Linked DNA regions of Arabidopsis thaliana. The protein of the gene in region 1 interacts with the protein of each later gene in a biochemical or structural test. Each region holds a gene or a part of one and is shown in the gene's direction. Other genes may lie near its edges. The genes, in order: SNL1 and TBP1.

Evidence for each region.
Region 2: the proteins of SNL1 (region 1) and TBP1 form a complex in vitro, tested with the Arabidopsis thaliana proteins (one study listed by BioGRID).

The regions. Positions count from the first base shown.
Region 1 is NC_003074.8:98,819-116,176, forward strand, and holds SNL1 (SIN3-like 1), read left to right. Parts: upstream 1-7,475; 5' UTR 7,476-7,477; coding exon of another isoform or gene 7,478-7,618; 5' UTR 7,619-7,911; coding exon 7,912-7,988; intron 7,989-8,141; coding exon 8,142-8,333; intron 8,334-8,420; coding exon 8,421-8,604; intron 8,605-8,694; coding exon 8,695-8,793; intron 8,794-8,862; coding exon 8,863-9,030; intron 9,031-9,119; coding exon 9,120-9,396; intron 9,397-9,585; coding exon 9,586-9,722; intron 9,723-9,801; coding exon 9,802-9,880; intron 9,881-9,962; coding exon 9,963-9,998; intron 9,999-10,095; coding exon 10,096-10,289; intron 10,290-10,363; coding exon 10,364-10,518; intron 10,519-10,591; coding exon 10,592-10,719; intron 10,720-10,840; coding exon 10,841-11,095; intron 11,096-11,240; coding exon 11,241-11,933; intron 11,934-12,013; coding exon 12,014-12,102; intron 12,103-12,331; coding exon 12,332-12,910; intron 12,911-12,975; coding exon 12,976-13,076; intron 13,077-13,167; coding exon 13,168-13,306; intron 13,307-13,399; and 9 more. Other genes in the region: AT3G01310 (Phosphoglycerate mutase-like family protein), read right to left, coding at 1-11, 187-272, 396-470, 667-759, 1,040-1,144, 1,266-1,336, 1,445-1,598, 1,729-1,792 and 4 more; AT3G01311 (actin cross-linking protein, putative (DUF569)), read right to left, coding at 4,225-4,596, 4,683-4,955, 5,236-5,469; AT3G01319 (uncharacterized protein), read right to left, coding at 7,478-7,618; AT3G01322 (ECA1-like gametogenesis related family protein), read left to right, coding at 15,472-15,786; AT3G01326 (ECA1 gametogenesis related family protein), read left to right, coding at 16,541-16,846. UniProt on the Arabidopsis thaliana protein: Acts as a transcriptional repressor. A histone deacetylase (HDAC) activity is required for transcription repression. May play a role in telomere stability.
Region 2 is NC_003076.8:4,452,570-4,468,060, forward strand, and holds TBP1 (telomeric DNA binding protein 1), read left to right. Parts: upstream 1-8,270; 5' UTR 8,271-8,609; intron 8,610-8,984; exon of another isoform or gene 8,985-9,095; 5' UTR 9,096-9,124; coding exon 9,125-9,208; intron 9,209-9,296; coding exon 9,297-10,011; intron 10,012-10,098; coding exon 10,099-10,272; intron 10,273-10,360; coding exon 10,361-10,414; intron 10,415-10,489; coding exon 10,490-10,569; intron 10,570-10,669; coding exon 10,670-10,911; intron 10,912-11,033; coding exon 11,034-11,354; intron 11,355-11,442; coding exon 11,443-11,506; intron 11,507-11,597; coding exon 11,598-11,786; 3' UTR 11,787-12,168; downstream 12,169-15,491. Other genes in the region: PPH (pheophytinase), read right to left, coding at 84-275, 376-602, 946-1,581, 1,679-1,738; AT5G13810 (Glutaredoxin family protein), read left to right, coding at 3,200-4,024; AT5G13825 (uncharacterized protein), read right to left, coding at 12,530-12,634, 13,131-13,400; AT5G13830 (FtsJ-like methyltransferase family protein), read left to right, coding at 14,794-14,871, 14,956-15,042, 15,131-15,193, 15,271-15,369, 15,480-15,491. UniProt on the Arabidopsis thaliana protein: Binds specifically to the plant telomeric double-stranded DNA sequences 5'-TTTAGGG-3'. At least 2 repeats of telomeric sequences are required for binding. Induces DNA bending.

The DNA.
Region 1 (17,358 bases):
CGTCATAATACCTTACAGTGCAAGAGATTTGTGAATACTTTAAAATTGAAACTCAACTTTTAGAGAGTTAAGAAAGAGGCGAAACATGCCAGTCTAAAAACCATCTCAGCATTTATTCTAGAAACTTAACCTATAAATACAACTATGATTTTAAGAAAGAAAATAAAAATGCAGATGCTAGCTTACTTGTATGAGTTCTTCACAAAACTCCATCCATTGACATCACAAACATATGAACAGCCCTCAGATCGTAGAAGATCAAACCCACAGACCTGGAAATGTGAAAAATGTTGAAGAAATTACTACGTCATTGCACGAAATCAGAACGTACCATTATAAGGGATTACGGCCCTGCAAGACATAATGAGAGCCGGAGGATTGGATTCACAACATACCGCTTGCCTAAATGCAATGCAAACTTCTCTAGCCATTTGCTTTTCAGCAGGTGTAAGCAATACTGGATATCTCACCTGTTCAATATATTAACCAAAAATAAAATACTGATCAAAATCAAAACATTAACAGTTTAAACCTTCATGAAAACATAAGCAACTCATGCTTTTCATTATAATCAGTAGATACTGAAACCATAGCCCTTCCTTCATTAAAAACTAGGTATGTTAGGTTCCCTAAATGGAACTGTTGGGAAATGATTGAAAGACTTACTTCCTTCCCATCTGTATTCCTCATAACAACACCATCAACAACAGGTGACTTTCTTGCTTCAGCATGTGCGTATTCAGGACCCACTGTATAGACCTGTGTTTACCAGGAAGATTGTCAGTTGAGAACTCATGCTCACCAGACAGAAACAAGCAGCAATAAAAGCTACATCAGCAGGTGGAAAGCCATGCAGCATGTATATACTGTAATATATAGGCCAGTAGAAAAACATAGGATATTAACATAGCAACCTACTACGTTGAGGACACTTGATACCAACAACTGTACAATAATATTCTCAAACGCCTATGTTGTCCAAAAGATGGGAATGGTAATGGTTTTATCGAAAAATGTGTAGAAGGGAAACAATCAGAACCTTGACATCAGTTCCTCCGGTGGCCATAAACTCCTCGTATATATAAGAGCCTTCTCTCCTTACCCTTCTGACGTCAGGATGAAATTCACTTGATCGGTTCCCAATCTGTAGTAAGATGGGGACAAGCGAAATATATTAGGAAGAAAAGGAGCTAATCAGAATTATGACAATATCAGAATAACCAGTTCGATCCAGAACAGAGAAGTTCTGCAGAAGGATGCAGTACCTTGCGAAACAATTCTTTCATGCCTCCACCTGCCGAGCTAGGGTAGTATATCATTATACTATGGTCATCTCCTAAACACGTATAAAGAATGTCAATAGTTAGCCAATAATAATTTTAAAAAAAAAAACTGCAAATCAGAAGATAAATAAAACAAGGAGGATAGCCAGAGGCAAGCTCACCATTGACAGGCTTTTCCACAAATGGCTTCCAGAAGCGTTCACCATGGACCTCAACAAAATCTTCTTCCTCGACAAAATAATGAAGGTCTTGATTTGGTACCTTTCTATTGACACAAGCATACCTAGGAACTGGGATGCCATACATCTCAAGATGCTGTAGATGCACATAAGTAGTTATTTTGATTAGTAAAAGGAAAAATTAGGTAGTTCTTATTTTTCGTTAACGCTGAATCACTCTGAAGAATTTGCACAGAAACAGCTATCTTGCAGTCTAAAATGCTTACCTCATACACCTTCCGGCGATCATGAAGAAGATATTGCGGATCAAGTTCATTCACTAAAAATGGCCTGAATAACACAAGTTTGAAAAATCACACCTCAATAGCCAAACTCATTTAATTTTCACCAAAAAGACTAATGTAAGATAGGCTGTTTATTGAGCCAACAGTGAGAGATAAAAGGTAAAACTCACTTTCTTAAAGCAGCATATGCCTGAGCCTTCTCAAGAGGATATCCAGAGGAATGAAAAGCAATCAAGCAATCACAAATGGGCCAACTGAAAGAGTAAACAGTCTGGTAAAGTTTTGATTCCAGTATATACTTTGTACTTGATATATATTCAGCTACAGTTTGTCTAAATACACTAACAACGAATCTTTCATAACATGAGTTAAAGCCAAAAGAGAGCTCTATTTGGTACAGAATACCTTTCTATTGGATCTTCAAGTATAACTTTATCCCCAAAATGTAAGATCTGTGGATAAAGTTGCAACAAAAGTGTAAATGAGATCATAAATAAAAGAGGAAATGGAATACACCAGGGAATCTACAACGACAAAAAGTGTCAACAACTCTTCTTTAGCAGACTAATGCAAAAAGTTACTCAGAAGCATCTTCCAATAACATTTGCCCAAGAATCACAAAAATACAGGTTATTCCATCAAAAAAAAACAATCTCTCTCCAATGAAAATAAAAACAACTATAAGAATACAAACCAGAGAGTATCAAATTGATCATCAAGTGAGAAAGGAACCTCAAATTCACCAAAAGACTGGAGTCTGTCGAGAATTTCCCCCATGGGAGCTGAGAAAACCTATAAAGCAACAACAACAAGGAATGTATGAGCGAGAACACACGTAGTAAAAAAAAGACAAACCGGTCATCATGGAGCCGTGTAATCGGAATCTGTTGGTCAGTAGAAAAACGCGAAAGACGAGCAACAAACAAACAAAAAAAAGGGAAAACAGAACCTCGGAGCCGCATTTCACCTTCTTTTCCATGACGCAGACTCCAATCTTTATCTTCTCACCAACACCACTTGCTCCTTCTTCCATCTCCATTCTCTCGGCCTTTCTCGCTCTCAACCTACTTTTAACGACGTCGCAGTGTTCTTCTCTCTAAAGTCACAGATTCAAAAAATCAAAACCAGATAAACAAAAATAATTCACCAATATAGACTAAATCTCGTCAGTTCCCAACGATGATGATATGATCAGCTCTATGGAGGAAACCAAACAAATCAGCTCACAGAGAGAACAGTAGAAGATCTCCCAGAGAAGAAGAAGGAGAAGACGAGGAGAGACTTACCAGTAAACAGGTGATCGCAGCTCACAAGGCAGAGCAATAGCGATAATGCTTTGCTTGAGAGGGGGAGAAAAAAAAAATCCGAAAGAACGGGGAAAGAAAATATCTAAAAGCTGCGGTGAAGCTCACGGGGCCAGACAGAGGACAATTCAGTCGTCACAGGCCGTTTGCATTAAATAGTATATTATTAGGAGAAAACTATAAAAATGCTAATTTCTAGTCAGCATCCTTGGACCGAAATTGGACCCACACTTGACGTTAAATACACTATCATGGTCGAGCAAATATAATTATAATAATAATGATCAAAACTTTATTATTGATATATGAACTAAAATATCACATGGTCCATTGTGTGTGTCGTCCATCAATGTTACATAAATAGATATAATGTCCCTATAAGGTTTTCCTATGTATATTTTGGTTAAGACAAATTAATATGTAACAAAAAAAAAAAGTGGAAGGATAAGATCTAGTAGTAGGATTCTAGAATATGCAGTAATTAAGAGAAAGAAAAAATATATGTCATTTAGCTTTTTGGTTGCTTTACAACTTTTCTTATTCCCAAAAAGTTATGTTTTTGCATAATAGAGTTAAAAAGGTTCCACCCAAAAACATATTATGTGTCATTTTCAGATTGTCTGACTTTATTTTGTGTATTAAACAAAATTATAAGATTCTACTACCAACTAGTTCGTTAGGTGTGATTTCTATTTGAATTCTAGGTAACATACAGTATTTTCATTCCAAGATTTTTAAAAGAAAAATGTTAAACGAATAGATCATTATGTTGTATATACAACTATACATGTACTTATCAACTATCATATATTGGAATATGAAGAATAAATTAGCTTCACAATGACTTCTTTCTTCGTACACAAATAACAAAATAATCTTTTTTTTCTTCTTCCCAAGTTGGTTATAATTTGATAATATATTATTGACAATCACTTGTCAATCTCTGCGAAAAAAAAAAAATCAAAAAATCAAAAACACAATTAGAGGCTGTATTAAAATAGTTAAACTTGGGATGAATAAAAGTTTGTGCTGACGTGACGAATAATGAGACTTTCAAGAAAACTATGTGTCGGATTTTTCATTAGAGTTCCGACCAAAAGAAATCGGAAAAACAACAACTCTGGACTCCCAATGTCTCGAATATACCTAAAGTTTTAATTGGAAATCGAAATCCTCAATTGAAAAAAATTAGGAATGCATAAACAATATTTTGATTATAGATAATGGTAACAATGAAGAAGGAGGTAAGTTTAGTACCGCAAGAAGAAGGAAAGACGATGATGTGCATAGTTGCGTTGTTAGGAGGAAGATGCAATTGAAGAGGACAAAGCTTTTCGTTCAAAGGATTTCTACACCAAATCATAACATCTTCCATCTCTGTTTCTTCCTCAAGCTTCTTCTTTAGTTCTATCAACTCGCTTCCATGGAATATCAATGATTTTTCTCCTATTTCCTTATTTATGTTCCCACTATCATCTCCGGTCTCGTAATATATTAGCCTTCCTTCGGACTTGAGTGGTAAACTCACAATAAACGAATCATCTGACTGATCATGTATCGATGAATGTTTAGTACTAGTATTTTCAGAAGAATGGTATTGGCACGTATGTGTAGTGTATATAGTAGTAGTACCTCAATCCGTGAAAAAGTGGAAGAACTGTGGGTAGACTCTGCATCATCTTTGATAACTCGAATCTGAAGAACGTCAACAGTCCACATGACCCAATCTTGTGTGACCGTACGACTAGGAATATCGTGTGTGATAGAGTTTCTCCACGGTGGTACACCTTTGTTTGCCCTCAGATATTGTCCGTAGCGACTCTTGAACCGTACGTGTACACCATCGTCTGATAGCGGCTCCCACTCCGCAGATGAATCCAACTTTTCGGGTAGAGTTTGAAGTACCTTGTGAATATGAAACACACACGGCTTGTTTAGCAAGAAACATTTCCACGTTTAAAAAAATTCTGTTTATGCGTTTTTGTTTGCGCTATAGTCATAAGAATGGGTTTTCTCGTTGTTAAACATTTGAAATATCTCTTGGGCAAGATTTACTTTGTCAAAGTGTTTATAAATGTTATCAATGGATTTGGATGCCTTGTTTTTCAAGAAATTTATTGAAAAAGAATCCTAATTTTGATTTGAGATGGTTTCTTGTAACCCAATCTCCCCTAGATAAACCTACCTTTTCGCCGGTGGCTCCAAGGAGGAAATGAATATTAGTGGCGGTAAGGTATTTGCCGTAACAGCTTTGAAGACGGATCACATTGGATCCAGGTACGATCTCAACCGTCCATCTAGTGTTTTTTGTTGTGCCGCGACGATCTTGATGAACGGATTCTTGATCTTCATCGGCACTTAGGTATTTGTCGTTGTGGCTACGGAGACGTACAATCGTTGCCTTTCTAAATATCTCCATCCGAGAACAATAATGATCTCTTTCTAAAAAATTAAGAATTAGGAGACAAAAGGGGATGGATCTATAAGTTATTCTTCATTATCGTGATGCAACGTAGGCTAATATGGTTTGTTGACCTGAGTCTTGTTTTTTAATTCGCTTGATTTGAGTCTTTTATCGTTAATGGTTTGTTATATGTTTGATCCATGTCAAAAGTTTGTTGAACCGTGGGATTAGGATTGTTCAGATTATAAGACCAGATTTCTAAATAGTATGACAACTCCGAAGACCAGATTCTGAACCTCTTCCATTAATTGAACTATTTGGTTAAATAAATCAAACTGTTCTATTTGTTTCTATGATTCCATCTCTGTAAACGGTCAATGTATATGTGTGAGTCTTTTATAATTCGAATCTTCTGCTCAGATATATGAATTTATTCTCATAGATTACAAGAATCTCTGAAGTCTGACATGTGAATTTCTCATAAAATCATCACCGCAGAAGAAGAAATTATCCAAAACGAAATTTGAAGGAAAATACTAAAAAATCGAAAGAAAAGAAGAGAGATCAGAGTTTGGTTAAGAATTTTTTCGGTCACGGTTAATCTGAAACACGGACCAATTTGTTGATCATCATATCTCTCGTTTCAAACAAAACAATCAAAACAGAAGAAAATCAAATCGAAAAAGATCTAGTTGAAAACGATTAAGATCATCAGAGACTTAAATACTAATAATCACAAAGATTACTCCATCATATTGTTGCAGTATTACCTCATCACCTGATCTCAATTTTGCATTATCTATACGGACCAATACATCATAACTCGAAAACCAAAGATCTAAAGAAAACTAAACTGAAGATAAAATACGAACTTGAACAGAGAACCCTAAACTGACTTGATAAGAGCTTGATGTCTGTCAAAGTCATGTGTGGTTTGTATATAAAGGTCCCCAATGGCGGCGATTCTTAGGTTTCTCGAGGAAAACCCTAACGCTTATGGGTCGTATATGAGCTTCATAAGGCCCATTATAATAAACCTCTTTTGACCCATAAAAACCCCAAACCAATACTCAATTAGCTTATATGGATGGGCTTGACTGAAAATTTACAACTTCTCATTTTTGGTTTGATTCAAGAAAAAACAAAATATTAATTTTAAAAAAAAATATGTACTTGGAACAAAATAATTTGTAAGAAAATCTACATCTATTTAAGGCTTGAAGTCATTGGATCCTATTTTAATGGAAGACAAGATCAAAATTTATATCCTTTTTTTGGGGAGTAGATATAAACTTTTAAGCTTAATTTAGCATGTTTTGTAGTAAATCCAAAACTGGATAAAATCTAATTTCAAACTCAACTAATTCTGTTCATTTTATCTTTAAACAAGTTCAAACACTTGAAACAATAGCTTCATACATACGCAAAAGAAACAAACACACAACAAAATTGATAGAATAAAATAAGTTTGGTATTAAAGAAGATATAATCGTAACAAGATTCAAAACTTAAGTAATGACATCGCTACAAAGATCAGCTGTTTCGTTCCGACGTCAAGGTTCTTCGGGTCGTATTTGGAGTGATCAATTCATCTTAGATCAAAAAAATGGAGCAATTCTTCAAAATCATCTAGAACAAACCGGAAGAAATAGTAATGATCTTGAAGATAAAAATCCATCACAGAAATCAAGTTCTTCGTCATCTTCTTCATCACCACCTCCATACTTTTCTGAAATACGTAGAGGACCAGACATCTCATCTTCTACACGAAACAAACTCGCTTGTGGTTTATCATCACTTTTCCGACAATGTATCGGTTCTTCGGCTCGTGCTTAATTTTGTTCAATGCTTGACGCAAATCTGTACATATATTTTCTTGTTATATGAAAAATTCATCACAATTTTTTCCGACCAAACAGAGTTCTTGATAAATGGGCCTATTATTTTAAAAAGCCCAATAGATATTTGAGTGTCCGGCCCAAATTGAAGTAGAATAAAAGATAAGTTACCAATTTACCAGTAGTTAGCAGCAAACACACAGAGAAAGTGAAACATCGAAGAGACCCCAGAATGCAAAATCTCTCTCCGCCTTTTTCTCCTTCCTTATTCGAAAATTCTCAGCGTCTTTGTTGCAAACTCCTCTGAAATTCTCCGTCTTCTTCATTCGTTTTCGACTCTGCGTTCTACTACTTCTCGTCTCCTATCAGTATCATCGCAATTCATATTCAGTCTAGTGTGTTAAACCGGAGAATTTGGAGTCTCGCCGGAATTTTCCTCTGTCTATGTATGATTGCCGGTGATCAAAGCGCTTCTTAACGATTCTGTTCTCCTTTGAGAGATCTGAGTATCTGATTTCATCTACTACATATGTTTTCTCGAGAGTGATAGAAAGTAGGTCTCATACATATTTTTCCTCTGGAGGGAATTTTGATCCTCTGCTTCGTTAATTAACTTGTGATGAAGCGGATAAGAGATGATGTATATGCCTCTGGGTCTCAATTTAGACGTCCTCTTGGTTCTTCTCGAGGCCAATTGTGAGTTTCTCTAAATTCACCCTTCAAATTTCGGTTTTGATCTTGGTTCTGTTTTGTGGCGATTAGGTTTTCTATAATTCTGCATGGAGAGTGACAAATATTTGTTATGAATTGAGTAGTTTTAAGTAATCGATTAGAGATGATTTGGTGCAGATGTGGACAATCTCCGGTCCACGGCAGTGGTGACACCGAAGAAGAAGAAGAAGGAGGGAGCCGGAGAGTCTCTCAGAAATTGACAACCAATGATGCGTTGTCGTACCTGAGGGAAGTAAAAGAGATGTTTCAAGATCAACGCGAGAAATATGACAGGTTCCTCGAGGTTATGAAAGATTTTAAGGCTCAAAGGTTAGCTCTTTCACTCTCTATCGACTTCAAAGTTCAAGTAAGTTTTAGTAGGCGGCATTGTATTAATTCTTCGTCTTGCATTTTCAGAACCGACACAGGCGGTGTGATCGCAAGAGTTAAGGAATTGTTTAAGGGACATAATAATTTGATTTATGGATTCAACACCTTTTTGCCTAAGGGATATGAAATTACGCTTATTGAGGAAGACGACGCTCTGCCAAAGAAGACTGTTGAATTCGAACAAGCCATCAATTTTGTGAATAAAATTAAGGTGCTGTCGAAATCTTGGTCTTATATTTCTCTTTTGAAGTGCGCTTACATCTTGTGTCTCAATGTACAAGTTTCTTTTTTCTCACTGCAGATGCGATTCAAGCACGATGAACATGTCTATAAATCTTTCTTGGAAATCTTGAATATGTACCGAAAGGAGAACAAGGAAATTAAAGAGGTGTACAACGAGGTAATATACTTCATCTCACCTGTAATGCCACTCCAAACTTTTTCTAACCTTCGAATATCTATGCTCCAGGTATCTATTCTTTTTCAAGGCCACTTGGATTTGCTTGAACAGTTTACTAGGTTTTTGCCAGCGTCTTTGCCATCTCATTCAGCAGCGCAGCATAGCCGGAGTCAGGCTCAACAGTACAGCGACCGAGGATCAGACCCTCCTCTACTTCATCAAATGCAAGTGGAAAAGGTTCGTTTGATCTTTGTTTCATATTTTTCCTTGTTCTATTTTTTGCCACGTATCTCAATTTTGTTCCCGCTACAACTTTTTATCACCAGGAACGCCGACGAGAAAGGGCTGTTGCTCTCCGCGGTGATTATAGTGTTGAACGTTATGACCTTAATGATGATAAAACGATGGTGAAGATTCAAAGAGAGCAGCGGAAGCGCCTTGATAAGGAGAACAGGGCAAGGAGAGGCCGTGATTTGGACGATAGAGAAGCAGGTCAAGATAACCTACACCATTTTCCAGAGAAAAGAAAGTCGTCCAGAAGAGCTGAAGCTCTTGAAGCATATTCTGGTTCTGCTTCACATTCTGAGAAAGACAATTTGAAAAGTAAGCTAACTCCTGTGTCAAACATTTTTTTATTTGCTTGGTACCTTTTCTATTTTTTAAGAGTCCCAAACATTGGACACCTTAATTCTTTCTCTTTGAGAGAGAATTTATTTTCCAATTTTGGTTGCATGGTGATCTTTAAGGTGCGAAGATCTGCTTCTGTTTTCTAAGATGTTTACTTTGTGTTAGGTATGTACAAACAAGCATTCGTTTTCTGTGAGAAAGTCAAGGATAGACTATGCAGCCAAGATGATTATCAGACATTCTTGAAGTGCCTCAATATTTTTAGCAATGGAATAATCCAAAGGAAGGATCTGCAAAACTTGGTATTGCAATTTGTGATCAGGGGTTGATCTTGTGGTAACGTTCAGGAAGTTGTATTAAATCCCATTCATTTTCTTTCAGGTTTCTGATCTTCTTGGGAAATTTCCTGATCTGATGGATGAGTTCAACCAGTTCTTCGAGCGGTGTGAGAGTATTACTGGTACTGAAATACGTATTGTTATTTTAATAGTTATTACATATCAGCAATCTTCTTCTTTCTGACGGTCATCCTCTTTTTGTAGATGGATTTCAGCGTCTTGCTGGTGTTATGAGCAAAAGTATGCTGCTATTTTAAACTTCCCAGCTGTGAATAATATTGTCTCTTTCCCTCCTACTTTGTAAAATCTTTACTGACATTGCTGGTACACTTGGCAGAATTATTTAGCAGCGAAGAACAGTTATCCAGGCCAATGAAGGTGGAAGAGAAAGAAAGTGAACACAAGCCTGAACTCGAGGCTGTGAAGGAAACTGAGCAATGCAAGAAGGAGTACATGGGAAAATCTATTCAAGAGCTCGATCTCTCTGATTGCGAGTGTTGCACTCCTAGCTACCGGCTTCTGCCTGCGGATGTAAGCTTCTATTTCCAAGTTGCATTTTGAGCATGTTCATTGGATTTTTACTTACTGTAATATTATATTTGCAGTATCCGATACCAATTGCGAGTCAGAGATCGGAGCTAGGAGCTGAGGTTTTAAATGATCATTGGGTATCTGTCACTTCCGGAAGTGAAGATTATTCTTTTAAGCACATGCGCAGAAACCAATATGAAGAGAGCTTGTTCAGATGCGAAGATGATAGGTATTTATATTGACAACATACATATTATAGTTTGAAGTAATTGGTCATTTATGTTAATTACTGCTTATAACAGATTTGAGTTGGACATGTTGCTGGAATCTGTGAGCTCTGCGGCCAGAAGTGCAGAAAGTTTGTTGAACATCATCACAGAGAAGAAAATAAGTTTTTCTGGCTCCTTCAGGATCGAAGACCATTTTACGGGTCTGTATGCTTTTTTGGGACCATTTTACAGTTCGTAGTTATATCTTCTCTCTTCCCCTATTTAGGTGTCCTCATATGTTTGGTTATTAACTTTACCATTTTCTTATTGACATATTTACAGCCCTAAATTTAAGGTGTATTGAGCGACTTTATGGCGACCATGGTCTTGACGTGATAGACATATTAAATAAGAATCCAGCCACTGCACTTCCTGTAATCCTAACTCGTTTAAAGCAGAAACAAGGTGAATGGAAGAAATGCCGTGACGATTTTGATAAGGTCTGGGCGAACGTATATGCAAAAAACCATTACAAGTCACTTGATCACCGCAGCTTCTACTTCAAGCAACAAGATTCAAAGAACTTGAGTGCAAAATGTAAGTAGACTTATAGAAGTCGTAAGAAGATTTATATTCAAGTAGTTCCTTTATCCTGTTTTATCGCTCACATACATCCGGCAGTGCTATTTTTCCTTTCACTTATTCCTTTCTCATTCTGTTTTTTTATTGCTTCGTGAACCAGCATTGTTGGCTGAAATTAAGGAGCTGAAAGAGAAGTCTCAGAATGATGATGATGTTCTGTTGTCTATTTCTGCTGGTTACAGACAACCTATAAATCCTAATCTTGAATATGAGTATTTGAACAGAGCTATTCATGAAGACATGTTCAAAGTAGTCCAGTTTTCATGTGAGGAGTTATGTTCTACAAAAGAACAGCTCAGTAAAGTTCTGAGGCTTTGGGAAAATTTCCTGGAGGCAGTGCTGGGTGTTCCTCCCAGGGCCAAGGGCACAGATCTTGTTGAAGATGTTGTAATAAACCCCAAGACTCTCGATGTGAATCACAGCACATCTCCTAACGGGGAGGCTGCTGTGAGTTCTGGAGGAGACACAGCAAGGTTGGCTTCTAGGAAACTTAAATCTGCTGCCAATGGAGATGAGAATTCTTCATCTGGGACATTCAAACATGGGATAGGTTTGTTAAATAAAGATTCGACAGGGAAAGAAAATCTTGAAGATGTTGAAATAGCTAACAGAGATGGTGTTGCCTGCTCTGCTGTGAAACCTCAGAAAGAACAAGAAACTGGAAATGAAGCCGAGAAAAGGTTTGGAAAACCTATCCCAATGGATATTAGCGAAAGAGCAGCCATCTCGAGTATATCAATCCCAAGTGGGGCAGAAAACAATCATTGTGTAGTAGGCAAGGAAGTTTTGCCAGGTGCCTTCCAGATTTAAGCTATTTAATTTTATTTGTGCTGCTTGATTATTTGTGTTGATATTTGTTACTTTACAATTAAGGTGCACATGAGATTCAAGCCAAACCAAGCGACACCCTCACTGATATTCATCATGATGTAGATAGCATTGAAACTGTTCATTCGACTCAGGTACTAGTACTACAATCAATTGCTCGTTGTACCATATTTACACCATTCAGTTGCTCGTTGTACCATATTTATATATTCGCCTAAACCCACTATTACCTGGAGGTTTCCATAGCTTAGGGATGTAAAAATTTACAGTACTACCTATGGGACCCAGGGGTGTAAAAATTTAAAATGTGTCTTATATTATAATTATGCTTTCCGGACCCTTCTGACTCTGTCATATTACTAGGGAGGTGATGTTGGCAATTCGATAGTTTTGGCAAATGGATTAAGGTCAGATTCTTCTAAAGGTACTAGGAATTCTGATGATCCCGAAGGTCCCTCCAGAAATGAGAAAGAGGAAGGTGAACTGTCACCTAATGGTGATTTTGAAGACAACTTTGGTGTTTACAAAGATCATGGGGTGAAGTCCACATCCAAACCAGAGAATTCAGCAGAGGCTGAAGTAGAGGCAGATGCTGAAGTAGAGAATGAGGACGATGCTGACGATGTTGATAGTGAAAATGCTTCCGAGGCATCTGGAACTGAATCTGGTGGCGACGTATGTTCTCAGGACGAAGATAGAGAGGAGGAGAATGGTGAGCATGATGAGATCGATGGTAAAGCTGAGAGTGAAGGAGAAGCGGAGGGAATGGATCCACATCTCTTAGAAGGAGAAAGTGAGCTGCTTCCACAGTCAGAACGTGTTCTCTTATCCGTCAGACCCCTTTCAAAGCATGTCGCAGCAGTTTTATGCGATGAGAGAACAAAAGATCTCCAAGTTTTCTATGGGAATGACGACTTTTATGTTCTTTTTAGGCTTCACCAAGTGAGTTACCTAATTATTTATTGAAATTGATTCTCTCTAGCAAAGATAACGTGGTGCATTTTCAGATCCTGTACGAGAGAATTTTGTATGCAAAAAGGAATTGCTCAGGCGGTGAACTGAAATCGAAAAACTTAAAGGATACCAATGCCGGAGATCCTTATGCGAGGTACCTTCCTTTGTACAACTTTTTATACTAGCCTATGTAGATAATCATATACATGTTGTTCCCATCAAAATCTGATCTGTGTGTTGTACAGGTTTATGAGGGTTTTGTATGGTTTGCTAGATGGATCAGCTGAAAATACCAAGTTTGAGGATGAGTGCAGAGCTATAATTGGAAACCAATCATATGTGTTATTCACGTTGGACAAACTGATTTACAGATTGGTTAAGCAGGTGTTACTCACACTAGTGGTTTAGGACAATTTTTTTTATGTTATCGACATTATGTTACCTTCCTTGTGATGTTCTAATATTATCCATCTGCAGCTTCAAGCTATTGTAGCCGATGAAATGGACAACAAGCTGCTTCAGTTGTATGAGTATGAGAAATCCCGGAAACCAGGAAGGGTTATCGACTCAGTGTATTATGAAAATGTTAGGGTCCTCGTTCACGAGGAAAATATTTACCGGTTGGAATGTGTATGAACCCTTGTGACTCTCTTATCTCCCGCGGTCTTCATACATCAATGTGGTGACTCATGATCAATTTGAACTTAATTGCCCTTTTTAATTGATATGCAGTCATCCTTGCCTTCACGTTTATCTATCCAGCTTATGGATAACATAATCGAGAAGCCAGAAGCATATGCAGTTTCTATGGATCCCACATTTGCAAGTTATATGCAAACTGAGTTGCTTTCCGTCTCATCAGGAAAGAAAGAGGAGGGACATGACATTGTATTACAAAGGTATATATCTTATATAATCATCTGTCTCTTTAAGGTTTTCGCATAAACCTCTAGGTTCATGGAAATGGTAGATTCTATCTCTTTTGAAACGCTTGCAGGTTATATATAGGTTTATTATTTCTTTTTCTCTTCTACTGGAACTGGTCCAGGATACTGCAACGATATTGCATAATTAAATAAATTCCCTTTTGGCAGGAACCTCACCGGGTTGTATGATCTCTGTAAAGCTATGGAAGGTGTCGAAGTAGTAAATGGCTTGGAATGCAAGATGTCTTGCTCTTCTTACAAGGTAAACCGATCTTCCGTCCCAAAGATCTTGAACCAAGCAACTCAATTATACCCATTTCAACCTGTTCATCTTTCTTTATGCAAAAGCTTCTCTGTACTCAATTTCTTGTTCATGAATCAGTCAACATATATACTCATCTCTTGTAGATCGCGTACGTATTGGACACAGAGGATTACTTCCACAGGAAGAAGAAGAAAAAGAAGACTGAACAGTTATGGCAACGTAACAAGGTGAGAGTAGAAAGGTTCCATAGGTTTCTCTCAGCTTAAAGATGACCACAACAAAGTTTCCTCTTGGGTTTTCTTCTTTCCTTCAAACCAACAACACACAAGAAAAAGGTAAAACTGACAAAGTCGCACAAGTAAAGTTCTCTGCAACAATTCCCAACTTTGGTCTTCAAGTTTCTTACTATGCTGATTATAAGATGAGATATAGAGAGATGCACAAAGGAACAAAACCATAAGAAGAACAATGGTGGTTTAGAGTTACTGTGTGTATCTTTAGGTTTCAAGTGCCAAGTCTGTTAGTGTTACATGTAGTGTGTGTCTGTGCTCTTTAGGAGAATGTTGTTGTAAATATGGGAAAGCACTTGAAGATGCCTTGGTTAATAGATAGATAGGCCCAAAAGAAAAATTATTATTATATGCTTCAAATTTCAAGATTATGAAATCAACTAAATTTTTTATTGGTGACTAAGCGGTAACAACAACATTTTTGTTTTGGTGAATTAAGAACAAGAAAACAATGAGACATACAGAGACAGAGAAATCATATTTCGTGTTAATTAAGTTTACGAAAATGACTAAACCTAACCCTAATTAGGTTTCATCTTTCCTAAAGAGTAAAAGACCAAAGAATATGTGTTGAAAACCCCTGCATCCAGTATATGGATGTTTCATACGTTCAACAATGATGATTTTTTTATCATCTCATAATCGATGGAATAATACTACTTAGTTGTTTTCAACGCATTGAAACACTCCTTAGTGAGGCCGTCGTGATTTGTCTTTAAGACAAGACTTCAAACAAACGGGATGCCTATGAAACATTCAACGAGACATAAATGATTGTTTGCGATTTGTGAAATGTTAAGATTCATTTTTGCTTACGGACTAACTAACCAGTGGATGCTTAGGCGCGGTTAGTTTTCAACGTATTTAAAATTTACCAGTTTTCCATAAATGAGTATATGTAACTTCCAAATCTTGTATACGTGGCCTTTCTTTACTCACTCTCTTCTTATAGAAGGAAATCCTTAGAATACATTCCACGCAGAAGCAATCTCACGTCAATTCTGTACAACTACACAAACTCTATAAACCATACATCTTCCGTCTTCTGTTGTAAAAAAAAAGCAGAAAATGAAATCAAAGCAAATCAAAATGATGTTCTTTTTATTAATTGTAGTTTCAGCTTTGATTTTGCGACCGTCCAAAGCTCAGATAAAAACGAGCATATGTTCAAGAACACAGACAAGGCCGATAGATAACGTGGATGGATGTTTCGATGCGGTGAGATTAGCTGCGGATGTAGATATCAAATGGCTATCAAGAGACTGTTGCAAAGCAGTGAAAACACTTGATGATTGCCTTTTGCTTGTATTTCCCAACAGAGCTTACAATACTAATCTCTTCAAAGAAATTTGTTTCGAAATTTTCAATAACTTAATTTTATGATTTCTCTGTATTTTATAATGATATAATCAACGAATCAAATTTATTTTTTTAATTCTGATACGAAAATATTAACATTTCACAAATCGCAAACAATCCTATTATATATCTATACATGTCTCGTTCTTTGTTTCATGCTCCTCCGTTTGTTTGAAGTCTTATCACTAAAGAATGCTTCAATGCTTTGTAAACAACCTAGTATTTAGAGATTCCATCGATTATGAGATAACAAATAATCCATATTGTTGAATGTATGAACATCCATATCGGATGCACGGGTAATCAACATTATTCTTTGGTCAAAGTGAAACCTAATTAGGGTAAGGTTTAGTAGTGATTTTCTTTCAGTTGTTATTTCCAACTTAACTAATCCGAAATATGATCTCGCTGTCTCTAATTATTTTGTTGGTCTTAAGTCACCAAAAATGTTGTTACTGCTTATCTCGACCTTAATATTGAACATATATGACCCCTCAAAGATTATCTCTTTTTAACAAAAATAAATAAAAAAGTCCATTGGTCAAACTAATTCAAGCATATAAAATTACTTTTCCATAAATAAGTATTTGCTTGGGTCAAAACTTGTATATTTAATTAATTACGTCTTTCTTTCTTTACTCCATCTTCTTATAGAAGGATATCCTGAGAAAAAAACCCACAAAAAAAAAAGGCATCACGTCATTTCTCTACAACTACACAAACTCTATAAACCATCTATACATTTTTCGTCTTCTATTGTAAAACAAAAACAGATAAAATGAAAACAAAGCAAATCAAAATGATGTTCTTCGTACTAATAGTAGTTTCAGCTTTGATTTTCCGACCATCCGAAGCTCAGATGAAGATCCAATCGTGGATATGTTCAAGTGAACAGATAGCACCGATAGTAAACGTGAGTGGATGTTTCGATGCGTTGAAATTAGCGTTAGGGTCGGAGAAATTTGTCAGATTGCTATCAAAAGACTGTTGCAATGCAGTGAATATACTTCCTCACTGCCTTTTGATTGTATCTCCCGGCGTAGAGTACAATACTATTGTATTGAGAGACTTATGTTCTCAGTAGTTTTCAATGAAACAAATATCATGTAATGAAAAAATACAAATATTTTGAATTTTTTTTTAAGTTTTAATTATTTAATATAAACAATTGGAATCAACGAAATGTATTTTTAATTTTAGACGCTTCGTATATCAAACTTTCTTCTCATTTGTATTCAAAATCATTTTGATTTTTTTTATATTATAACTGAAACATTTTCCGAGAATTAAAAATTATCTAACGATCAAGATCCTTTTTATCTAACGATGAAGAAGATCCTTTTTTCCTTGATTCATTTTCTTCATAGTTTACAACTTTAACATGGTACAAATACCAAGTCAACAGAACTGACATGCACATGAATGATTTTGATTCGTGGGTTTTTTTTAATGCATATTCGGATGCCACAATCAATTTGGATATAGATTATGCGATGCTATCAAAGAAATAATATACATATTTTTTTCTTACTCCACATATATGACTGTTTCCGATTTGTGAAATATTAAGATTTTCGTACCAGAAACAAAAAGTGA
Region 2 (15,491 bases), on another chromosome or scaffold:
AATAGCAGCATTCCTCATAAGCAATAACACCAATCACGCAGAGTAAAAAACATATAAAAACAAGAAACCACACTGTCTTATACCTAGATAAAGCTTCGGAGAAAGATAGCTCTCCACCAGGAGCAAGCATGATTGAAGCAAACGATGCTGCAGCAGCCGGATGCTGTGTGACCTCCACAATACGTGAGAATACTTTATCCACATTGATAGAATGGTCTGTGTAGACCTGTTTAAGTATCTCAGCTATGCTTTCAGGATCACTTATCTTTTGCCACCTGCAGTTTCATTGGGAAGTAAAGATATTAGACTGATAGAGATAGAAATAGAAAATGATACTTTTCAGGTGAGGAGATGTGTTAATAAAGTCTCCCTTACACCAATTCTGTGATTTTTTTCACTCTTTCCGGCAGAGGGAATGCTCCGGGCCATGGAAAGAGACGTGCTAGCTTTGGGGATCTTACTGGATTAGGGAAGAAACCCCAGAAAGGTGTTGCATTAAGCAAGGTAACACCCTTAACCAGGTGAGGATGGGTTGCTGCAAAGTAGAGAGCTACATACCCTCCAAGTGAGTTCCCTGCAATGTACACAGGCTCACCGATAACCTGTACAACACAAATACCACATACTCTTACCGACTCAGCAGCTTATTTCAGATGAAAAAGATCGTGATCTCAAACTAGAACACAAACGGAATCAAAGAACAGAGATGAATTCTAATATCTAGTGCATCCTAAACTTTCCCATTCCCAAAGCAACACCAGAAGACTCCATACCCACACTTTCAGGTTCTGAGCTGAAAACTATTGAAATCCATGAGTATACGACACATAGCAACAATCTACACTAAAAAAAAAAAGCTAACACACTGCTTTTGAAATTACGACTAAAAGAACAAAATCAACAGCTTAAAGAGTAATAGAACAACTGAACTCAGATATTGCTAACCTCTTCTACAAAATACTGAACTTGATCCCTCCAGAGATCCAGAGAGAATACAAGTTGATCAGCCCACGGTTCAGTTTTGTCACCAAATCCCCAAAATGGTTCCTTATCTTCCGAGGAACTGGTTTCTTCAGTCATGGTAGTAGGATCTTCAGTAGGGAGAGATAAACCCTGTCCAAGAAAATCAATAGCCCATACTCGATAATCCCTTCCCAAATCGGTAAGCTGCTTCTCATAGTGAAATGAACCAACGCCAAAGCCAGGAAGAAACAACACCGCAGGAGCATCGAGATTGTCACAACCGGCTTTCTCATAATGTACTCTAAGCTTGGGCTTCCACTCGCAGTGAGAATGACTGATTCGAGCAGCAATTTCACCATTTGATTCATCAGGCAAACCAGGAATCAAAACCTTTGACGTTGATTCTCCTCTTCTGGCTATACGACCCAAGTCATCATTCTCACCAACAACATAACCATCGGAATTTCCACTTCGAATCACAAGTCTGGATTTTTTGACCCCTGAGAATAACAAACTTGACCGATTTGGGACCAATCTTTTCGTTGCTAATTTACTACTCCAAGTAACCACAGAGCACTGGGGCACAACGTTCAGTGAGATTATCTCCATAACAAGTTCCTGCAAATGAACAACCAAAAGGCATATCCTTTAATACGAATTTTCCACTCATATATCTCAACTTCATAGCAAAGCTAAGAATAACAAGGAAAATCACATATGAAGCTGGAATCTTTGTATAGTTATCAGAATTTTGCTTCAAAAGCTGAAACCACATACAAAAAGTTGATGAACTTGCGGTAATCTTCTATGAACTCGTCTTATCAAATCCTAATCAAAACAAAGCAAATCAAGGTCAAGCCAATCTTCTATCAAATTGAAACCAAACAACAACAACACCACCCGATTCATCGACAAAGAACTCCAGCTATATAATAAACCCAGGAAGAAAAGAAAGAAAAGAGAGAGTTGCAACTTGTACCTTTTCAAATTCCAGAAGCGAGAAGCTTCATCAAATGGTCTCTCTGAGAGCGTTATTGAGAAATTAAGCGAGGAAAAATCTAAAGGTGAAGAAGAAATAGAAGAATTGGGTTGCTTGCTGGCTTGGTTAACTTCAATCGTTCGGTGCAAACCGACAGCAACGTTTTTATCGAGTTTTTATTTTTTCTTAAAGGATCCAAAATTCATACTGTATTATTAAGTGTAGGGTTATTTTTTTCACAATATGACATTTTGTTTTGGATCTGACATTGCTAATTTGACACCGATGTAACATTGCAAAAACACATGTTTGTTGCAAAAATATGACAGAATAATATTTTTTTTAAAAACAATTGATTTTTGATCTTCTTTTCCATTGTGTAACAATCGGAAAACAAAAAAAACAATCGAAAAACCTGCAGTTTTCATATCAAACAATATAAAACCCGTTTAATTTTTGAATGGTTTAATCACTATTTTAACGGTGTTATTTGAGTTTTCTAGTTGATTTTAAATGTTAGAGAATTGATCTTGTGTGAACTAAAAATCCTAATGGTCGAAGACTAGAAAGCGAAATACACTACTCTTCAATTAGAATACAGACAACTATCTCTAAACCGAGCGTAGAATCAATAGCAATAAACCGACCGTAGAAACTGGTTTCGCTGTAACCATAACCTTTCTTAATAAGACAACCGCGTTTTACCAGTAAACGACTTTTCCTCGCAATTTAATCCCACTTTTGTTATTTTTTCAAATTCGTTTTTCCTCGAAGGAGCATCGAGTAAATATATCATTAAAGAGCCTTTAATAACTTAGACATAATAATTATATCTTTAAAAAAAAAACAGAAAAATTCTTTGCTTTGCAACAAAGGCAGACAGACAAAAGGCTAATTCGGAGCTCTCCTCCACATCTTCTTCCAAAACACAAACAAACCCCCAAATTTCCAGAAAAATCAGATCATTCTTTCATCAATCTCGTCTTCTTTAATCTTAGGTGAGAATTCATCAGCTCAAAAACGCAGCACCCGATCGTTTTACGACTCAAATCAGAGAAGCTGATTCTTTTCCAATCATTCCAATTTCCATTTCTTCCTTGGGAGGTGATCGACGATTATTCAATTTATGTTTTTCAATTTCTCTTTCTGTATTCGTCAATTTGCTTGAATTTGATCCTAGGGTTTTGATTTTGTTGACTATTTTAGGTTTTACACCAAATTAGCCGTCGAAAGGGGTGCTTCTTTGATCTAATTTCGATGGCGGGATTAGAGAAAAACGCTGATTTCTCAGGGAAGACGACGAAATCGGCTACAACGACGTCGTTCTTCAACAGGTCGCTTACAATTCACGGAAGAACAGTGGTGGATTCGGGCCCCAAATCCCACAATCTCAATCCTTCTCTCAATCGTACCACCTCCATTACCAAATTCTACACCCCCGTAGAATCGATGGGAACTTCTCTTAAAGGCAAAGTCAAAAACCTTTGTAGATTATTCGAGACTTCCAAACCCGTTAAACCTGCCTTAGCTGAGATTCCTCAGAAGCAGAAATCCGGTAAATCCCTTTTACCCGAATCGCGGATATCGCCTTTTTCGAGCTTAAACAACTCGGTCATCCGTCTTCCCGGGACAGAGGACAGGATTGTGGTGTATTTTACTAGCTTGAGAGGGATTAGACGGACGTATGAGGATTGCTATGCTGTCAGAATGATATTTAGAGGGTTTCGGGTTTGGATCGATGAGCGCGACGTCTCCATGGATATCGCTTATAGGAAAGAGTTGCAGATTGCAATGGGAGAGAAGTCTGTGTCTTTGCCTCAAGTTTTCATTATGGGCAAGTATGTTGGTGGTGCTGATGTGATCAAGAGTTTGTTTGAGATTGGTGAGCTTGCTAAGATTCTTAAAGAGTTTCCAATGAGACAACCAGGGTTTGTTTGCCATTGCTGTGGGGACATTCGATTTGTTCCGTGTTCCAATTGTAGTGGCAGCAAGAAACTGTTTGATGAGGATGAAGATAGGGTCAAGAGATGTCCTGAATGCAATGAGAATGGATTGATACGTTGTCCTGATTGCTCTTCTTGAGATATATCATCAATGAACCTGAAAAAACCATTAAAAAAAAGAAGAAAAAAGAGGTATTTATTTCTCTTTTGATGTTTCCATTGTTGTGTAGAACAGTGAATGATGCTGCCACAAGTATCCGAAAATCTCTTTTGGATCAGCAGCATTTCACTTTGGGTTTTTTAAGGTTTGCGATCAACGGTAATGGGAATGCCGGTGATCGTGGATTTAGTTTATGTATGTGTTTGCTACTAAGGGCTAAATGTAATTGTGTAATCAAAATGTCTGAAACGGGTAGTAAGCATTTTGACTCTTGTGTGTCAATGTTGTGAAAGACAACTGTGTTCTTATGCTATATATTTGATTGTAAATATTTCGTGTGTTTATGGGCATCTTGTTGATTACGACAGTAATTGGGTGGTTCTACTCGCTTGATCGTCTTTTTATGACAACTTGGTTAGAAGTTTTCTACCGACATAATCCTCCATCGTTCTTGTTCGCTAACTCTCAAGTATGATCAAGGGCTCTCAGAACCAATTTATTGGTTGAGCGTAATTGAATGTTGGTGGTTAAAACATAACATATAAGACAATCATGTATCATTGACAATATTCTAATCTTGATTCCGCAAACATTCATGATTATATCGGTGACAAGTCCATAAGAAAAGGGTCATACTTCATTTTCGCATTTGATAAACTTTTGTTTCCGGCAAAATTACTTATTAGGTGAACTCAACATTTAACCTCTATTTCCGGCAAAATCATTACCTTAAAAGAAACTAATTCATTACTCATTCCAACGGACCAACTAGTCCTTTTGGCTTAGGTTGGAGCCAATCCGATAAGTTTGGAGAAATGACAAAATCAGACGTGGTAAAAGTGAACACTTGCATCACTAGTTACTTGATTTGTTTGAAGAGAGGTGTGACCTATAAGGAAACTATCCAACTCTTTCTAAAATGTCAAAGAGAGTTCTGAGGCTTTCTTAAGAAAATGCATCTATCCTACCTACGTTATTAGGTCCAAGAATAAATATTTGCAATCAGAAGCAAATTTCAATCTTGAAAAGCCCAAGTGTATAAAACGATGAGGCAACCTATCTGAAAACTCAACGTTTAAAAAGCCCAATATTGTTTTTGCCTTATTGTCATCATTATACAGAGAAGTATATGGTTTCTTTAGCTACTTGTTTTCTTATCTTTTGGCACGAGGAAATCCTTTTTACGTTTGAGTTTGCAACTTTCCTTCTTTTATAGTTTTAGTCAGAATTGACGGTTATAGATTGTTTTTCACGCAACGTTTTTTCTTTAATTAAAAGGTTACTTGAACAGTTGAACTACTTCTTACTAGTGGTATCTTCTTCACTCACGCATCCACCCCCCACTTGGACCCACTTAATACATACCTTACTTTATTATTCCGGTTTCCGACCCATTTTCAATCATAAATTCATAATCAAAAAATTTGTCCTATATGGAAAATTTATGTTTCTATCGACCGTGCTTCAAGCAAAAACCAAAGTTTATTTTGTATGATCGTGAATCTGAGAACGGGACGGCTCGATCGACTCTACCGTGTTTTTAGTCGAAAGGGTATAGTATTGAATTATTGATAGCTTTGGATAACCATGTTGTTTTTGCAATGTGACACATTTTGCCTATGTCGTGCTCGTGCTCGTGCATGAGCATGATCGAACGACTATGTGGGTGCTATCAATTCTTAGTCAATTCTGCATAAAACATTATGATTTCATGATTTCATACATTTAGGATGGTGACAATGTACTCAACAACTACTTATGCTGGTTTTGGCCCCAAAAAAACATCGTTTTCTAGTGTTTTGGAAACTCGTTAATTCGACGACCTCGCCCAATACGGATATGTTTGACGCGGCATTCATGTCTTGTCTTAATTGGTATGCTAAATATTATTCCAACCGTTAATATAAATATTTAGAGTTATGATTTGACTAAAAACATTAATTAAAATATGTATATTTCTTTTTTTTTTTTTTTCTTTTTTTTTTTTTTTTTTTTTTTAAAATATGTATATTTCGTAATAGTATTTCAAGTGTTAGTGTGCACTAATTTAAATGATTGATTTTTCTTGTAAGAATATTTCAAACTTTGAAATTAACTCTAGAAATCTTATGTAATGAAAACAAAACGAAAGTATATAGAATCACGATGAGATTAACTGGCTAAAAAGTAATCATCTTTCATACAAATTTGCTATACATTTTTTTAATAAGGACTTCTCTTTTAATGTGTAGGAAAGATGAAATCAAAACACACCTATAGATCTATTTTCCATAACACACAAGATCTGAACACGAAAAACAATTGTTATACCAGATATATACAATAGTGTTTTTTTTTTTGGTTTGAATGATATATACATTTACATATATATAAACACATATATTAACGTATAAAATATTACAGGAAATTTGATTGGAAATGAAGTCCAAGTTGAGTAAGTTTTATTTCAACCACCTCAAGGAATATATACGGCCTTGAAGCATACGTAACCATCTCAAAGGCAGTTTCAAATCAAACGTAGATGTTAGGGTATAATGTAAGATATTGAGATTCTTGTTGGCTAACGGAATATTATATCAATATCGAAATGTTGCCAGGATATGAGAACCATGTGATGATGATATATACGTGATTGCTTTTCTTCAACTTGGTGACAGAGAAAAAAAAAAGTTTAAAGGAGAAATAAAAGAACAAAAGCTGTTCAACCCAACCGAATTAGCTTGCAAACGAGTAAAGAGCAGATCTATGCCTCATCCGCTGAAGCATAATGCATGAAATGCTAGAATCCAACTCTCTTCGGTTTTTGTGCTATTATTTAGGATATTTCTGCCTGCTACACATTCGTTGTCGATATTTGAAAAACATTGGGATCAAAAGACATCTTATATGAATAAAAATATATTTGTTAATTGTTATACATAATTTGATGTTATTTTGACATACTATGACAATACATATGTTATCGTCACCGCAATATTAATTAACTGTTTTCGTCAACAGTGTATAAATGATTCCCATAACATTATTAAACGTTGAATGGTAGGAAGAACAACTTGGTATGTTATATATATAACAGAGATCTCATATTATAAAAGTATGAAAATCATGTGTGCACATAGACTATATCACATCTACATGAAACACAAACACAAACACATGGATTTCTTCTAAACACAACGACATGGATATAAATCCAGTGTTATCGGCGTATTAAAAAAATAAGACAATGTATGAGTGTGACAATCAACCATGTGAAATCTTGTCTTTCTATAAATATACTAGTTTAGAACTTTTTGTTTTATTTTATTTATTTGTTATTTTACTATATCTTAAGATAAGCTTATGCCAACTGACTTTCAAATTAAAATGGAATATTCTCGTTTTGTTAGGTGGTTGGATCTCGTTTTATTTAAATTTTCCTATATCCGTCTTACCGAGTAATTTAACATTTTTTACAACTAAGAATATGCTCTTTTCCGTCCAATTGGGAATATGCTTAACAACACTATCATGGATGATTATCCTAAATGTACAATAAATTTACTACTTAATCTTCATTCATGTTATCATGTTAATATACTATTGAAGGATTCCATTGTAAACTATTTCATGGATGATAATCCTAAAGTGTCTTTGGCTTCCCCAGTCAATATTAAACAAATTCAACGCAAACTTTTTAATAACAGTAAATAAACTTACCCAACATTAATATTTGACCAATAAAAAGTCATAAATAAAGCTTTGAAAATATTAATGGGGAAGAATTCAATAGTTTTCGAAACATCTTAAACCTTACTCTACCTAATAACTAGACTTAAAAGCAAAGAATCGAATTAAACGAACCACCCCACTCTTCTGCTAATAGGCAAAAACAAATTCCAGGTGTAAAAGCACGTCAGCAAGAGAAAACACGTGGACCAATGATGTAAAAACGTGCACGGAACAGTAAAAGAAGGGATACCACGCGGTATCACAGCCTCATAATATTCCCTTCAAAATGGGAATATTATAATTATTATCCAATCCCGAAATTAACTCTCTTTTTTTTGGTTCTGACAATGACAAACAAAATAGGTTTCGTGTAGTAAGAGTATCCTCCACGTGTCATTAAAAACAAAAAAAATGGTTCGAAGAGTGACTGGCTCTACCCGGTAAATCCACTATCCTTGAACTGCCACATCCGGTCGCGTGGTTATTATTTATTTTATTTCCTCTACTTACAAAAAAAAAATGGTGTATTTATTTTCTTCAAATGGGGGTTTAAGCTTTTTTTCAGTTGTTTGGTTTTTTCTTTTTCAAAGGGTTTAATGTCTTCTTCTTCTTCTTCTTCGTTATTTCTATTCTAGAAGAGAGAGAGAGAGAAAGACAAGGACGATCGTTAAATCTTTTTCTCTTAAATCTTAGAATTTCAAAGTCTCTGTAATTTTTTTCTCTTTTCATTTGTATAGCACAATTGTTCTTAATCAGAGATTCGTGAGAGGTAAAGGTAGCGTAATTATTCAGTTTGCGTGATCTATAATTTAACTGGCGCCAGATTGTGATCCAGGAATCGTTGGCTTGTTAGGTGAGTTTTTTTGTTCATCACAATTCATGTTCTCAATTCTGTTTTTCTGATCCACAAACTCAATTCATGTTCTGTTTTTGGTGACAAAAAAGTATTGAATCTGAAGTCGAATAAATTATTTGGCGGTTTGTCAGAAGTTGGCAATCGAGATCTGATTATGTTTTATTGTTTGTTTCTACGTAAATTGTGAGCATTTAAGTTACATTTGTTTCATTGATCTAAGTTTTTGCGTTTCATCTATACGTTGCTTGTTTCGCTGCATTTTTGCATGTTTTTTAAAAAACAAACAAAGTGATCAAGGGTTTGGTGTTCATTGTTGATCTGAATCTGTATAGGGCTTAGTTTTATCTTCCTGATTTTTTTTTTTTTTTTGCATTTGACCTCGGATCTGTTGATCATTAGTTTAAGAATGTGTTCAAATTATACTGATTAGCTTAATTTTGTTGGAGATGATCATGACATTAAAAGTCTTTGATTTTTTTGCAGGTTGTTGTTTTGTTATGCATAATTGAGAGATGGTGGTCAAAAGGAAGTTAAATTGTGGTGGCTCTAATGGTTTTGATTTCCCCAATATTCCCAAGGCTCCTCGTTCAAGCAGGGTAAGAGATCATGGTCTTCATTTTTTTTGTTTTTTTTTTTGTATGCTTTTGTAATACGTCTCTGATGACTTTTGTTTCCCTTTTGTAGAGGAAGGTCTCAGGTAAGAGATCTGATGATGAAAGTGAGATCTGTGCAATTGATTTGCTAGCTTCTCTTGCTGGAAAGTTGTTGGAAGAAAGTGAAAGTTCCTCAACGTCTACCTATGCATCTGAAGCTGATAATCTTGATCATTTGGGTGGACTGATTAAGCAAGAACTTGAAGATGGCTATACTACTAAGCCTTGTAAATCCGAGTTTTTCGATCCAGGAAACCCTGCTTCAAAGTCTACTAGTGAAAATACTAGCGTGACTTGTTTGCCATTTTCGTCTTTCGAAAATGATTGCATTTTGGAGCAAACACCGGTTTCTGATTGTAAGAGGGCATCTGGTTTGAAGTCCCTGGTAGGGAGCATCACTGAGGAGACATGTGTTGTTAATGAGGATGCCGGATCTGAACAAGGTGCTAATACTTTCAGCTTAAAGGATCCAAGTCAATTACATTCGCAGTCTCCAGAATCGGTCCTTCTGGATGGCGATGTGAAATTAGCACCATGCACGGATCAAGTCCCTAATGATTCTTTTAAAGGATATAGGAATCATTCTAAGTTAGTTTGCAGAGATGATGACGAAAACTATTGTAAGTATTATAAATTTAGTGACAAATGTAAGTCATATAGGCCTCTCTCCCGGGTTGGCAATAGAAGAATAATGCAGTCGGTGAGAGCAATCTCCAAGTTGAAGTGTTTTGAAGACACTAGAACAGGTTAGTATCATATTACTGTGTTTCTCCTTGGTGCATTTCTTTTTAGCTGCCGCTCTGCCCTTACTTTGCTTGCGGATATATTTCTAGATGGTCGTTTGAAGGCTCTCTACCGCAAGAGAAAATTATGTTATGGTTACAACCCATGGAAGCGTGAGACCATTCATAGGAAGAGAAGATTGTCTGACAAAGGTTTGGTCGTAAATTATGATGGTGGGCTCAGTAGTGAAAGTGTTTCCAATTCACCTGAAAAGGGAGAATCAGGTACATATTAGTCTATATCTAGATGGTTTATTACCTTGGCTGATATGGTTTTGATTTCATGATTTTTTTGCTTCTTTGTTGAATGCAGAAAATGGTGATTTCTCTGCTGCAAAAATAGGTCTTCTTTCGAAAGACTCCCGTGGTATATGATCAGTTGATAATTTACTGACTTATGGAGACATGATATGTGGGTCTCATGTTATTTCATTGTTTGCAGTAAAGTTCAGCATCAAGTCCCTTAGGATTCCGGAGCTTGTAATTGAAGTTCCAGAAACAGCAACAGTAGGCTTACTGAAGGTGCGTGATTAAATGTCTTTTCCTACCGGTCTCTGTAGATGTTTTGGTTCTGCTGTGTACAATGATGAAGTGTTATTTACATAAACCTTTTTGGTTGCAGAGGACGGTGAAGGAGGCGGTTACTGCTTTACTCGGTGGTGGAATACGTATTGGGGTGTTAGTCCAAGGGAAAAAAGTTAGAGATGACAACAACACTCTATCACAGACTGGTCTTTCGTGTAGAGAAAATCTTGGCAACCTTGGCTTCACCTTAGAGCCTGGTTTGGAAACACTGCCTGTACCTCTTTGTTCTGAAACTCCTGTCCTTTCTCTGCCAACTGACTCTACAAAGTTGTCAGAAAGGTACTAACAAACGTGATCTTATATATATATATATATATATTTGTTACTGCAAGTTTTGCTTGTGTATGGATAAATTTGAAGCTCTAGAGATATACCTAAGGACAATCATTCGATCTTGCTAGGTCCGCAGCTTCTCCAGCGTTAGAGACTGGAATTCCTCTCCCTCCCCAAGATGAAGATTACTTGATTAATTTGGGAAATAGTGTGGAGAACAATGATGAATTAGTCCCACATCTGAGTGACATACCAGCTGATGAACAACCTTCATCAGATTCAAGAGCGCTGGTTCCAGTTTTGGCCTTGGAATCCGACGCTCTTGCACTTGTTCCAGTTAACGAGAAACCTAAGCGTACAGAGCTTTCACAACGCAGAACCAGGAGACCATTCTCTGTTACAGAGGTAGAAGCTCTAGTAAGCGCAGTTGAAGAAGTTGGGACTGGAAGGTAAAAAGACTGGTTTGGTTGATGAGGGTTATTAATACAATAATTTGGTTATGTGGTCAAACTAATGATAGATATTCTTATTTCACAGATGGCGTGATGTGAAGTTGCGTTCTTTTGAGAATGCAAGTCATCGAACCTATGTGGACTTGAAGGTATGAGAACACATATCAGAAACTGGTCAAACACACTTTTGAGTCTTAGCCACTACATAAATGGTTCCAATAACTTTGTGATTTGTTGCAGGACAAATGGAAAACGTTGGTTCACACAGCAAGTATATCACCACAGCAACGAAGAGGAGAACCAGTGCCTCAAGAACTGCTAGACAGAGTCTTAGGAGCACATAGGTACTGGACACAGCACCAAATGAAACAGAACGGGAAACATCAGGTGGCTACAACAATGGTGGTTGAAGCAGGTTCGTCCATGTAAAGAAGGAGAATGGTAATAACAATAACTTTCACTTGACGACTAAGGAACCAAAGTGGGCAACTGTACAAAGGGAAACAACAAAATACAGAAACATACTTAATTTCTGAAAAGAAGAGTCTATATTTTTATTTTTTTTAAATCATAGCTGGTAGAAACAAGACGTTCCTTGACACTTTTGGTTACTTTTATGGTAAGTCTGTTCATTCCAAATTTCTAATTGATTTGATTATGTAATTTGGTGGTAGGACCATGGAAAAAGGGGAAATGTAATTTTAGACAATTCTTTTATTTTTTTGTTCATCATTCCATTCAATCTAATATCTATGGACTATGGCAGTGACTGGTTTTCATCAATCTCTAAACCATTTGACAATACTTTGTCGGCCATCGTCTTTCCTTCGTTCACATTGGGTTCTAAATATTTTGGATTCTATTGAGAATGGGGTTTTGGATTAACAGGGCCCAACTACTAAAGTTGGCTTGCTGCACTTTTGCCACAATCCCTCTCAAATTATTTATTTAGCAGTAAAACACCAAATTTAATCTTGGTTACACAATATAATATTAACCAAAATAAACAAAGAAGATTCAATTCAACTAAACACCAAAACAAGAAAATCCTCGATTGATTGTCACATTAAAAAAAAAAAATGTTTCTTTATCTAAATAATTTGGATTCGAAATTTTTAGCCACTTACATAATAGAACCATCAATTCCCAACAAATTAGGTCTACTAAATAGATTACTTTCGGAAGACGACTATTGCGCGCGATTTTTCAATATCTGCATAGATTTGATCCACTTCTCCACGAGTATGATACATTTGCCCTAATGGATCATAAAAATACTGCACATTGAAAACTAAACAAATATTAAAATCTGTTATATTATAATGTACATTGAAATTAAATGATAAAAATGTGTGATATATATAAACACACACATATAGAATGAAGAATCATATATGCAGTAAAAGCTAAGAGTTGACAAAAAAGAAGAAGTAAAAACTAGGATAAAAACTAACATTTGAGTGAGCTTGAGATTTAGAGAAGAAACTATATGCATGTGCATACATTTTTCTTGACTCGGGTCTCGAAACTATACTTTAATCATACTTGCCAAATCAAACATATATTATCTTGAAAAATGAATACAATTCTCATAGAAAGAGAGATTCTATCCCAAAACATAGATTACTAATTCTTAAAACTAATGAATTTTTTGCGGTGACAATAGAAGGTGAGTCTAGTAAAAAAATCTAAATCAACATGACAAGAACAACTAAACTACTACCACTTAGTTGATAGCATGTTAATTTTCCATCAAAAGAAAATAATAGTTACCCGGTAGAGTCGGTCATAGACCTTAAGACGCTCCTCAGCGATCCAACCAGAACGAAGCCAGTTGTAACGAGGACATGTATTATCAAACACAGTAGAAGACGTATTGGGGATTTTATTCAATTGTCTTCTGCGACTCACAATCATCAACGTCTCTTTCCCTTCTCTTGACAGATTTGCAACGCTGCTCTCATAACTGATCACATCCGATGATCTCTTTTGTCGTGGACGTTTCTGTCGTCGATGTCCAGAACTACTAGATTCAGCCTCCATATCTTATCCTTGTATTATCGTCTTGTTACACTTTTATCTTAACGAATTTCAAGTCTTTGTATTTACACAAAACTTATCACCTTAAGGATACAATTGTGCCATGTGTTTTCTCATCTTCGTTGGTTTTGCACATTGTATAGAAATATATCTTAAGGAGATTACAAAATCTCCAAATACATTAATGTATTTCTTTTTTATTTTCGTTATTCTGCACTATATATAGAAAAGTATCTTAAGAAATTTACACAATGTCCATAATACATTAATGTATTTATTTCCATAAATAAAATTATGTATTTTTACACTTAATACCAAACATAAAATAAATATCAATTTAAAAAATGGTTTAATGAATTTCTCTTTAATTTGTTTTATTGAAGTTTTGTTTTTGGAAAGTTTGAGTTTTCTTTTTCTGAATTTAATTAATATTATTTAACGTTAAATTAATAAAATTTTCAAGTTGAGAAAATGGTTACATTGCTGTAAAACAAAATTAATTAGAAGATAAATCAAGTATATAGTCCAAGTTAAGTTCCAAAGGATTTCACCAATATAACATTAATTTATCATATATTATTAGATGAGTACTCACATATATGTAAAAACCTCTCTAATTATAATTTGTATTGGTTTATCTTAGGAGGGGTTATTGGTCTATTGATTTGTAAATCTATATAGAGTTTGAAAATCTCTATTAATTATGAAATCAAGATATATGAATTTTGAAATAACATGTGTTTACCCATGGATTTGAATCCTTTTATTTTTCTCTTTCAAATCCATTCAATTCCATTTAAAACATAATTTGGATTTTCAAATCAAAAAACAAATGACTAAACGAATAACAAATGATTTTAACTAGTATTTATAAATCATCGAATCAATAACACATGATTTTAATTAAAATTTTAAAATCAATGATTGAATAACAAATGATTTTTGTTTGGAATTTCAATTCCTTATAAATCTATAAACCAATAACCCCTTCTTAGTCTTGCATCCTTGAATATACCCTGTTGACATAGATGTAAACTTGTTTATTTTTTGTTTGTGTTTAAATTGAAATATCATTGTTTTTTTTTTGTCAAGGTTGAAATATCATTGTTAATATCATCTTTTGAATACTTTTCACATAGAGGTAAATAGTAAACTTGATCAACTTTCAAATTTTTATCCTCCTAATTAATAATACTTTTCACTATTATATTTTGTTCACTGTTAAGAATGAGTAAAAAATTTGCAGTTTTTGATTTAAAATAGAATTATCCTCGCTAATATTTTTTTTGACTAGTTTGCAATATTTAAAAATGTGGACATTTTAGGGTTTATAAGGTTTTGGTAAAACAACAAAAAAGGAAGCAGAAGACATCGGTTGTTGTCGGCGCCGGAGGAAATGAGTGGGGCAGGTGTACCGGACTTTTTCTACAGAGAAGCTCAACGTCTTGGCTATGTTGCTCGCTCAGCTTTCAAGGTCAATATTACATTCATACCCTCCTCAGCTTCGTCTCCTTCTTCTTACATTGACTCTTCTCTCTGTCTGTCTCTGCAACTACAGCTTCTACAGATTCAAAAACAGTACAAGCTCATCAAACCAGGCTCCTCTGTTCTTGACCTAGGTTGCGCGCCTGGTGCTTGGCTTCAGGTCTTTTTTTGAGATTCCATAAGTTACAAGTTTCGAATTCTGTGTAAAGAGGCCTAAACTTGAATTTTGTTGCTATGATTCGGTGCAGGTTGCTTGCCAAAGCTTAGGCCCACTTAGAAGTGGTGGAATTGTCGTTGGTATGGATATAAAGGTCAGAGGAAGCTTCAAAAATGTAATCTTTTTGCTCTAAACTGTGTGAATCCATGAGCTTTTTCAATTTCAGAGCAGAAGGTGAAGGTTCCTCCACAGTGTGATTCTCGAGTGCAAACCATTGCTGCTGATGTTTTAAACTTTCCCAGACAAAAGATTCGGGAGTTATCACCTCAGGTTCTGAAACTGTCTCTGTGACTTTATTAGACTTGGTTCTAAGCATGGTTGATGTTTTTGTTTTCTATAAAACTGTTGTAACACAAGTTATGGACTGCTTTGTGGTGCAGCAATTGGGATTT